2 linked regions of the Arabidopsis thaliana genome follow. The protein of the gene in region 1 interacts with the protein of each later gene in a pairwise test. Each region holds a gene or a part of one and is shown on either strand. Other genes may lie near its edges.

Region 1 (3,470 bases):
AAACTTTTGTATTTCAAAATCCACATGTCTGATTTTAAAATCTATATAATTTTCTGGGTCCCATAAAGATTTATATATTCATTAACAAATAATGGTATCATATATAGAGTTACAGAATAACAACATTTGCTTCACTAAACATGGGAAATAGATATTGGATTAGCAATAGACTATTAAATTTTTTTGAGTACATAAATGTAATTTCTAATTACTGTGTAAGCAACATTGTTTTTCTGCAACCACTACTTCCGCATACCAAAAAGCATTCAACATAAAAGGTTTCCATGAAAACTAATATAGGCTGTGGTAATGATTTAAACATCCAAAAGGATTCAGAAAAGAAAACAACAATAAGGATGAAAGCTTAACGAAATTTGCTTCAAAATACTTAAATAAATATCTTTGGGTCGACTGTGTAAGCAGCATTAAGAATGGGTTTACCCATAATTTGTCCAGATAAAATCGTCACTCTAATGTCAAATCTCTATAATAGAACCCATCTAAAACTCTTCTATTGAGTTGTTTGATTTTTCAACCCATTGTTTACAATCTCATGTAATTTATTTTACCACTTTGTGTAGGTTTGTTTAACTAAGTTCTTTACATGCATCTATCATCAAAACGTGCTGGTACATAGCTAACCAATCCATATATTTATGCTTAATTTCTGTTAGTTTTTAATAGTTAGTTATCCGGTAATTTAGTGTGAATGTTTTTAATTGCTACTATAAAATATGTTACATCAATTATTCTAAAATATAGCTTCTTTTTCTTTTTTTTTTAATATAAAACTTCATTGATCGATCCCTAACTATTGATGGTACTCTTCGTCTCGTTGTCACTTTTCGGATCAATCGATCTACGACTACTGGTCACCAACACATTTTGATCTACAAACTCCTGATCGATCGTTTTAGGCCAAACAAGTCCAATAACGCATCAAAACATCCAAATCTCTCACAAACACCTAGTATATGTAATAGACTCAAATTAAAACAAGAGAAAAAAAAACGTAAAAAAAACTGCAATACGACAAATGATTCAAACGAAAACTAAACGAAAGACTTAAGACACCAAAAAACAAAACATATTAGAACTATTCAAAAGAAAATACTTTAATAAATCATAAAATTTCAGAACTGGAACAACCAAAACCGAACCAAAATTTAAAAAAAAATCTAATAGCTGGAACCGAATGAAACCGAATCAGAACCGATAGCAATACTCGAACGCCCAGCCATACTTTTTGTATAAGAACTCAGATAAATGATGGATTTAAAGCATTCTAAGTTTTAAGAAAAAAAATGATGGTTATAACAATATTGACATATAAAAAAAAAAAAACGCCAGCCGTCAATTAGAGTTTTGAAATCGCAATAATAATGTTATGCATGAATAGGAATTAGGTTCACATTCTTTTTGTATTTGATCTGTTAATATCATGGCCGATATAGATTGAACATTTTATCTAAAATACTATTATATTTGACCATGAAATCATGTTGTTCATTACCACTACAACGTTTACAACCATATTTTCACTAATCACTAGTTGAATTCATATATCTAATTTGAGAAACAAAATATTTCAAAAATAAAATAATTTTATAGATGATCCACTTATGTATTTTCAATTTGTCTATGTATTTTAACTAAACTAATTAAATCAGTATAATAAGCATACATTTAATTTCATGCAACCCGCGATTTCTAACCTAGTTATCATCTAACTACGTTCATAAGCCCAGTCAAATTAGGATTGAAATAAATGTACAAAAAGTCAAAAAGTCTTCAGTCAATTCAAAGTCTTGGTCTCTCAAGTTTTCCATTTAATAAATAAGATATTTGAATTCGAAATAACAAAAGTCTATATTATTTAACACAATAATATATCCAACCAATGAAGACATACAAAATATCTTAGTTATTAATAACTAAATAAATAAAAAACACGTCAAGCCGACCAAACTTTCCTCCAAATAAGACCAAAAAAACTCTTAACAATTCCAACAACGTTAAGAAGAAACTAAAGAAACTTCCTATTTCCAATTTCTTTTCAAACAAGGACTCTGTCTTTTGTCTCTACTTGCCCTACCACTTTCCTTGCACCAACACTTGAAAATCTCAAATCTTGTATATATATCAACAAACAAACACAAATTCTATATATCATTCATAACAAAACATAACCATGGAGTCGAAATCTTCTTCTTCTTCTCTACCTTTGTTTGCTCTGTTCAATTTTTTCCTCATAAGTTTTTGCAGATGGGTTTCTTCTACACGTATCTTTTTATCAAGATTCGTCCCTCTTCTTCAACATCATCAACGCGTTTTCGACAAAAAGAACAACAAAGACCAACAAGAGACTTTGACCAAACAAGAAGATGATGATGATGATGATGATGATGATGATGATGATGATGATGATGATATTGATATTTCTAGAGAAGAGGCAGAGATGGTTATGAGAAGCTTAGGGCTTTTTTACAACGATGATCAGCTTCAAGAACAATACAGTGCAAAAGAAGTCTCGAGTTTGTTCGAAGAGAAAGAAGCGAGTTTGGAAGAAGTCAAACAAGCTTTTGATGTGTTTGACGAAAACAAAGATGGTTTCATTGATGCTATAGAGTTACAGAGAGTTTTGACAATCTTAGGGTTTAAACAAGGATCTTACTTAGACAATTGTTTGGTAATGATTAGGTCATTAGATGGGAACAAAGATGGAAAAATCGATTTTAACGAGTTTGTTAAATTCATGGAGACTAGCTTTTATTGAACCAAAAAGTTTTGTAATGACATTCATTCTTTAATCTAATGTTAATACTTCATTAAACCATGTCTCTTTGTGGTATTTAATCGAACACTTTCCATGCACAAAGTGTTTTCGTGTGTTTAAGATAAAAACTAATCAGATAATTAATTCTCTAATCATATATGCTTGATTCCTAAACTGGGTATCAATCTATTCATAAATCTAATAACTATCGATCTTTATAAAACACATTCTCTTTGTGGCATTACATCGAACACCTTGCGCGCATAAGGGTTTTTTCGAGAAACCGATAAAGCTTCTGGTCAAGCTAGAGGCTTTCACAGCTGTAATACAGAATTCTCCAGTTCCATTGAAGTCGGAGATCGTACCGTCACCGGAATCTGATTTCAGGTAAGCTTCTCTTCTTATTGGAATCGAGATTTGATAACACAAATCCGACCAAAGATTCGAAATTTCGAGATTTGTCTGGTTTTAGTGTCCAGGGTCTTTGTGGGTTTTTGAAGAACGAGATTAAAGTTTGGTTATTTGTAGAAATTGAAAAGTCTCTGTTTTGATGAAGGGCTCAGGTTAAGATGAGTTTAAGTAGAGCAAAGGATTTGAGACTTCCGTTGATGAATTTGGTTAGACTTAAAGGTACACCAATTTTGGAGCAACTTCATTTAGAAGAAAGGCTTCTTAGAACATCTTCTGATAATTG
Region 2 (6,879 bases), on another chromosome or scaffold:
GCAGATTGGGAGAAAGAAAAGCAAAAGCATTAGCATAGGGAAACTAACGAATTTTGTATAACTCCAAGGGATTTTCTCTTCTCCCCTAAAGTTCTATTCTCTAATTAATTACTGTAAAAATTCTCTTCTTTATTTCATTTTTGTCAGATTATTGTTAATTTGTTTTTTTTGTTTGTTCCTCTGAATTTCGTTCTATTTTCTCGAATTTCGATGTTACTTTGCCTTCTCCAGATTACTCTTTTTCTTGGAAATACTTGCTTTTGCCAAAGAAGGTTAATGTGTTTTTCTTTTCATATTTTGTTGTTTTGGTCGATAGTGTTCTCACAGTTTGATTGGCAGTTGATTTCGATTCCTTTGCATCACAATCAATATTAAAGTAAGCATATCCAGTTATTATACCAAAAAAAGAAAAAGAATGTTTTGTTTTGTTTTTATCCAAGACCTTGCGAATACAAGACAAAGAAGAGAATGATGTTGTTGAGAATAGTTTTACATAAGGTTATCAGATTAAACTAGCAAGGATATTATCTTTAATATATACAAAAAAAGTGACGAAACTTTTTATACATAGTTTCAAATAACACGAAGTTGCCCAAATATATTCAAACAACGCAATATCTTCAAAACAAAATACGTATACAAGAATGTGGACTATCACAAAAAAAAGCCAGTAAAATTCGTATATCATGAAAATTTGTATGATCTACGAACATGTTACTCCATAAGGTATTAGTGCTTGGTATTTGCCTGCAATCACTGAGATATGGCATGAACAATGGACGACATATAATGTGTAGAAACACTAGCTGCTCTCATATGAGGAGACGAGAGGTAAAAAGGCTACCAAAGAAAAACAGAACCACAGTTTGAAGACTGATAAACAGAGTTGCCAAAACGTATTATAAGGTTTTATATATGTTACAAACAGAATAATCCAGAAACAGCAGCAACATTTTGTAATTTCTCTATCTATACAAAAGTTAAAGTTGCCACTCCAGCAAAAGGAGTAAAAGAAGGCACAAATTCTGCAAAGAAGCCAATCTTGTCATAACTTGCTAGGGATCACATCACGGGAAAGCTTGGTCGGCTTTACAAACATGTCTTGGGTCTCTGCAATGAACTTGGCAAACTGAGATCCTTTCGTTTGTTTGTTATTACCATCTTTGAGTAACTTAGGCAGATTGGGTAGAGACTGCTCAGTCTTTGGTGATAGTGATGGCATCAAAGCCCAAATGGATGAGAGTTCTTCGCTAGGTTGATCAAGTGTTTGAAGGATCGTTGTGTTCTGCATATCTGTTTTAAGACGGGAACAATAATAAGCAAACACTTTTTGACACATCTACTCTCTATTCTGCTTCCATAAGTGAAACAAACCAACAAGATTAGACAAACCTTCTGCAAACTTGAAGATTGGTGCCAAGACTGCACATGGGATGCTGAAGTTGAGATGCGGTATAACAGTCCCCGCTCCATGTCTTGCGTTGCTGCAGATACAGAAAACATAGCAATGAACAATCAACTACATATCATCATGATTAAAGAAGAACTGTCCGTTTCTAATGACACATCTCATCAATGGATCTAAAAGACCTACGTATTGTATTTGAGAATGATTTTCGGTTACCTGGTAACAAGTCCAATCATATGGCCACTTGAATTGAGAACAGCACCACCACTGCCACCAGGATGCACAGCAGCTGTTGTTTCGAGCATAGCGGGGAACTCTGCGACTTCTTGAGAAATGGATTGCGTATTCAATCTCCTCTTTGCGTGAACTACCTTTGCTACAACTCCAGAACAAATAGAAGGAGAAAGCCCTAATAACAAACACAGAAGAATAGAGAGGATCATTTATTTCTTCCATTTAAGGACACTTGGCACATGTAAGGCACAAGAGAATGTAATTTCAGGGTGTGCAAAGAAATCTATGCAAGATTATGGAAGCACAACATAAGCAAGAATTGAGCAAAAATCTGATTCAACAAGACAATTCTAGGATTAACGGAGTCTTTACCACATCTTGGTCCGAAGAGTCCATGTCCAACAACATGCGCTGTTGTACCCAAAGGAGGAGAAGAAAAATTGGCAGTAATAGGTTGGAGCTTTCCAGGGACATATTCTAGCTGCAGTAAGGCAATATCTAATTGTTCCTTGCAAATATAGACCACGTTTGCAGGACACCAAGTCCAAGAATCTAGGTGACACAAACGCACACGTATGTCTCTATGCCCAGTCTGAAGGAAATTGTGTTTGTATTCCCTGATGTTCTCTCCAACAGACGAATAATGATTTCGTGGAGCTTTCCGTGGCAATGTTTGACTCTTCTGTTCCCAAAATTTACTTCCCGTGGAAGAAAATTCCTCGGCTCCTAAGACATAGGGTTTAAATCCTTCACCATATACACCACCTTTTCCATACCTCCACGGCTCAAGCAGGTGAGCATTTGTTAGTATGAGACCATGTTCGTTAAGAATAATACCAGAAGCCCAAACACCATCATTGACCGTAATAAGACAAACTGATTCCATCGCCTTCTCAATAGCCACTTGTGCAGGAATACTAGCATCTGATTTAACACTTAGGACTTCGCTCCCCCACTGACTTGCTTTTCCTTCTACAGATGGTTCCTCAAGCAGCAAGTGGCTGCAAGCAGTTGTGATTGCTCCCCATGGAACCACCAGCTGCTACCGAAGGCTACAGTTTTGCATGAAACATTACAATAAAACTTCAATGGACATAAAGGAAATGAGGCTGCCGTTGACAAACCTGAATTTCAACGCCGCTATTCTTTTGCCTTAGTGGTCTAATCAAAATGCCAATTAAGTGCCCATTCTTAGCAAACACCGGAGCCCCTTCCATTCCTGAAAGAAATTGAACCGGAACGGAACATGTTTTAGCTCTTAAGATGAAACAAATAGAGCATATATAAGAACTATTGATAATCGTACATACCAGGGAGACATCGAACATCAGCTATCATCAGTGACTTCTTTAGGGATCCAGAAGGATAGCTATTCGCAATGGAACCAGTTGATACGCTGTTTCAAACCAGTTTAGATTCCCGGAGTTAAATGCTGACACTATCAAGAGAAAGGAAATCATGATGACCTCTAGTCGATTAAAATACAGTAACGCTAGTGTAGCCATAATTCACCTGTTAAAAAAGTTAACAGGTGAAAGGATTCCAAAGGGAGAGCCTAGTGCTACAAGTGTATCACCCTTGCTACTTGATGAAGCAAAATTCATGCTTGGTTGACCCTGATTTACAAAATATTTGCGTCACAAAGATGAACCATAAATCAGAAAGAAGGAAACGGGGAGGAAAATCAGGGAAATATTTACCAGTAAACTTAAGGGGACTCCTAGAATAGCCATTCGAGTGGCAGACTTGGCCATGAAGTTAGCGTTGTGTGGCTCATCAAGTTGCATCAAGGGCTTGCTGTAATGTTCAATCTAGAAAAATGATACTTAATCTCAGAAATAGACAGATATCTTTCATTTCAAAGAAGGAAATACAAACACGCATCAACTACTCAAGCAATTTCAGGTAGGAGTTCAAACCAAAGACCATCAAAGAGTATTACAGGTTTGCATTTGACTTACATTGATTGAAGGCTGAGAACCATTAGCAGCAGAAACCAAAGACCAACCAATATCCCATCCAGAATCTTTCGAACCAGAAGAAGCTTCAATAAGAGATTGAAGTGCAGCAGAAGATACAGGGACATCAACCTTGTAACATATTAGTTAAAAATCAGCAGCGAACAGAATTTTATATGCCATAAAAAGGGAGCTACAACATATGCCATAAGAAGTGCATATCACACATCTTGTAAACTCAATTTAGTGGCTTCATAAATCATCACCACAGGGAGGTATCAACAGTCACTTCTAATAGCAAGAAAGAAGAGGAATTGCATCCGTACCAGCGAAAGAAGTTGCGCAGGAACCCAAAAAGGAGCTTCCTTTTCTGACTTTAGCTGACCCTGAAAAGAATACGCATCTAGATCACACCTTAAAAACTCCAAACAACTTACCATTCAACATAAACTATTCATAAACACTATCTGTATACCTCCACCATAATCTCAATCATAGCACCCGGAATAAGCTTCACCGGATCCTTTACAAAAAAAAAACAGACATCAAGATTGAAGAAGTAGCACATCAAGCAAAAACATGTATCATTGATATTGAAGTGGAGCATGTGTATCTAACCTGAGAGATACTACTACTAGTTCTGTGACCTAATGTTAAGAATGGCTCAACAACAGATGCAACGGTCAAAACCAGGGCCATGTCCTGACCAGCTTCAAACAGAACCTTAGCAGCGACCTCACCACTCAAAAAAATATCTCTTGGAAGCAAGATCCCAGAAGCTGAAAGTGTTGCATTGCCAGAACTTCAATAACAAAATTACAGCCACATTAAGTTCCATGATAGAAACAAAACTAAAGCATATAATACATGTAAAAAAAGTCATCTTGTGCTCACTGGTATTGATGAAAAGCATGCTTCCTCATCTTCAATCCCTTTGGATCCTAAAATTGAAACCAAGTATGATTAACACTTTGTACTCGATCATGTGTAAAGTAGATAAATTTATGGATAGAATCTCAAAACAAGAATTGGGTAAAGAGAGATCAGGGCTTACAGGGCCTTCGACTTTGACCAAGACGGCGAAATTCCGGGAAAAGCTGACAACTTTAGACACATCCATGATCGAAAGAGAAGGGATTTTTAATCGGAGAAGGTGGATTTGGATTCTGTATAGCAGACACCAAAATTGTTCGAAGTTTGGATCTTTTAAGTTTTTGGGCAACGAAGATAATAATAAGCTAATCACAACATTCACGGAAATGGCGGCTACGGTTTGGCTAGGATTGGGCAATTGAAGTCTTCGGGTGGGTTCGGTTCGGTTCTCCGAACCAAACGGTAATTAGGTGATAATGTGATATGGTTCGGTCTTCAATTTCTTTCAGAACTCGTTTGGTTACCACTATTAAAAATATTTCAGTTCAACTACAATTATTATACCTTTTGTTTTGATTAGTGTTTCATATTTTTGCAGTATATTTTTTTTCTCTTGTAAGCTACATGAATAAATTTTCTTAATCTAATATTGGTTTTTGAGAAACTTTATATCAGTACATGTTTGAAAAAAAAAAAAACTCTTTGAAACCAAGTCCGGTAGTACAAGAGAGAAAAGTCTCCACCACCTGGATTCGAGTAGTATTAGCCACCGAGGTTCGATCGCCCATCCCAAAAAGAAGATAGAGCTTAGATCGTCGGAGAAAAATTATGGTAAACTTATCATGAAATACTTACAAACTTCGGTTTGTTGTATGAGCTAACTTGTTTTCCAGTGTTCTCTATTATGTATGACTTGGAAAAAGTGTATCGATACTTAGGGAAGTCCGTCAACGTGCACACTAGTTCATATATTACATAGCATGTAAACAGGACCGGTCATGAGCATAACCAGATGAAGCATTTGTTATGGCCCCTAAAATTTTTGGGGGCTTTTATAGATATAAGCATATTTTGGGCCAGAAACTCTAAAATAGACACATTTTAGTTGGGCTTATAAAAAGGGAATTTTTTTTGTTTGTGAAATGACAATCTTCTCCTCAATTTGTTGATGAAATATCACTTTGTCTTCTTCTGTTTTTAAACTCCACACTCCTTCAAAATCACCACTTTCAACTCCATCAATATCGTTTCCTTCACTTCCGACGACTCACAATACAATTCTTTCATCAACCTCCTCTGATGAACTCTATGGAACTAATTAAACGATTGTTAATGCAAGGAATCTAAACCCTAAGAGGATAACATTTAGGGAACCCAAATATTCTAATTTTAGATGCAGATCGAATCAATTAATCTTTAATTCATCTATAATTCGAAACCGAATCTAATTGTTAGTGTCGATGAAGCTTACCATCGTCGTCGCGGTTCGTAACACATGATCTTGAAAGGGGAAATCAATTTCAAAGGCGGGTCGATTTGGCCTTCAAACTGCAACTTTCAAATCTCAAATTGGAGTTTGGAAATCAAATTCATGAAACCTTTGGCCTGGTTTTGGGGAAAAAAGAAAAAAAATGATAGATTGAAATGTTTATGGCGTTCTTTGAACGATAACAATCACGGGTTGTTCTTCTTCATTGGTTGTGTATGTTTCGAATTCTGGGTTTTGGATTTCCTTTTGTTAGTGTATATGAGAGACATGATCTCTTTGTTCAAAAAAAAAAAAAGACATGATGTCTTATTGTTTAATTGGTTTGAAGGATCTTGTTTTAGCTTTTCTGAAGAAGAGGGTAAAACAGTCTTGAGAATTCAGTATAAGTACTCAATCCCATAAGCTATTAAAAAAGCCTTTATCTTATAATGTCCATCACTTAATTGTGCCGATCCCATAATTGATCCAAAATTTCTGACGTTTTTTGTTTATAAAATATGTCCCCAATTTTATTTTACTTTTGTAAAAAGGCCTCCAATTTTATAACTTTCTATAAAACTCTTAAAACGTATTTAGGCCCCAAATTTCAGGGTAGGCTATGCATGCAATGATTCGTTTTTTTGTATATTTTTATACCATATATTAGCTATTCAAACACATCTTAAATATTATTAAGTAAAAAATTTGATATGCTATTTTAACATATTTTAAAAAAATATATGGTGCAAAACGAAACACGTAATAACATTAATTGGGATAATAATAAAAAGGTATATAATTAATTCTTTCTTTTGACTTTATTTCAACAAGGAAAAAATAATTTAAGAGTTAAACAAAATTCTTTCAAATAAAAGCTATTCCTTTATTTCATTTTAGTTTCTTTCTAATTTTTTTTTTATCAGATACCAATCGGAACT

What was found.
Region 2: the proteins of AT3G29000 (region 1) and DEG15 interact in a two-hybrid assay, tested with the Arabidopsis thaliana proteins (one study listed by BioGRID).

What each region holds. Positions count from the first base shown.
Region 1 is NC_003074.8:11,003,600-11,007,069, forward strand, and holds AT3G29000 (Calcium-binding EF-hand family protein), read left to right. Parts: upstream 1-2,038; 5' UTR 2,039-2,191; coding exon 2,192-2,776; 3' UTR 2,777-2,915; downstream 2,916-3,470. Other genes in the region: AT3G29010 (Biotin/lipoate A/B protein ligase family), read left to right, coding at 3,346-3,470. UniProt on the Arabidopsis thaliana protein: Potential calcium sensor.
Region 2 is NC_003070.9:9,919,628-9,926,506, forward strand, and holds DEG15 (protease-like protein), read right to left. Parts: upstream 4,862-6,879; 5' UTR 4,721-4,861; coding exon 4,655-4,720; intron 4,542-4,654; coding exon 4,495-4,541; intron 4,403-4,494; coding exon 4,219-4,402; intron 4,124-4,218; coding exon 4,076-4,123; intron 3,987-4,075; coding exon 3,927-3,986; intron 3,733-3,926; coding exon 3,604-3,732; intron 3,454-3,603; coding exon 3,343-3,453; intron 3,259-3,342; coding exon 3,155-3,258; intron 3,039-3,154; coding exon 2,953-3,038; intron 2,862-2,952; coding exon 2,767-2,861; intron 2,682-2,766; coding exon 2,015-2,681; intron 1,818-2,014; coding exon 1,625-1,817; intron 1,485-1,624; coding exon 1,393-1,484; intron 1,294-1,392; coding exon 1,046-1,293; 3' UTR 592-1,045; downstream 1-591.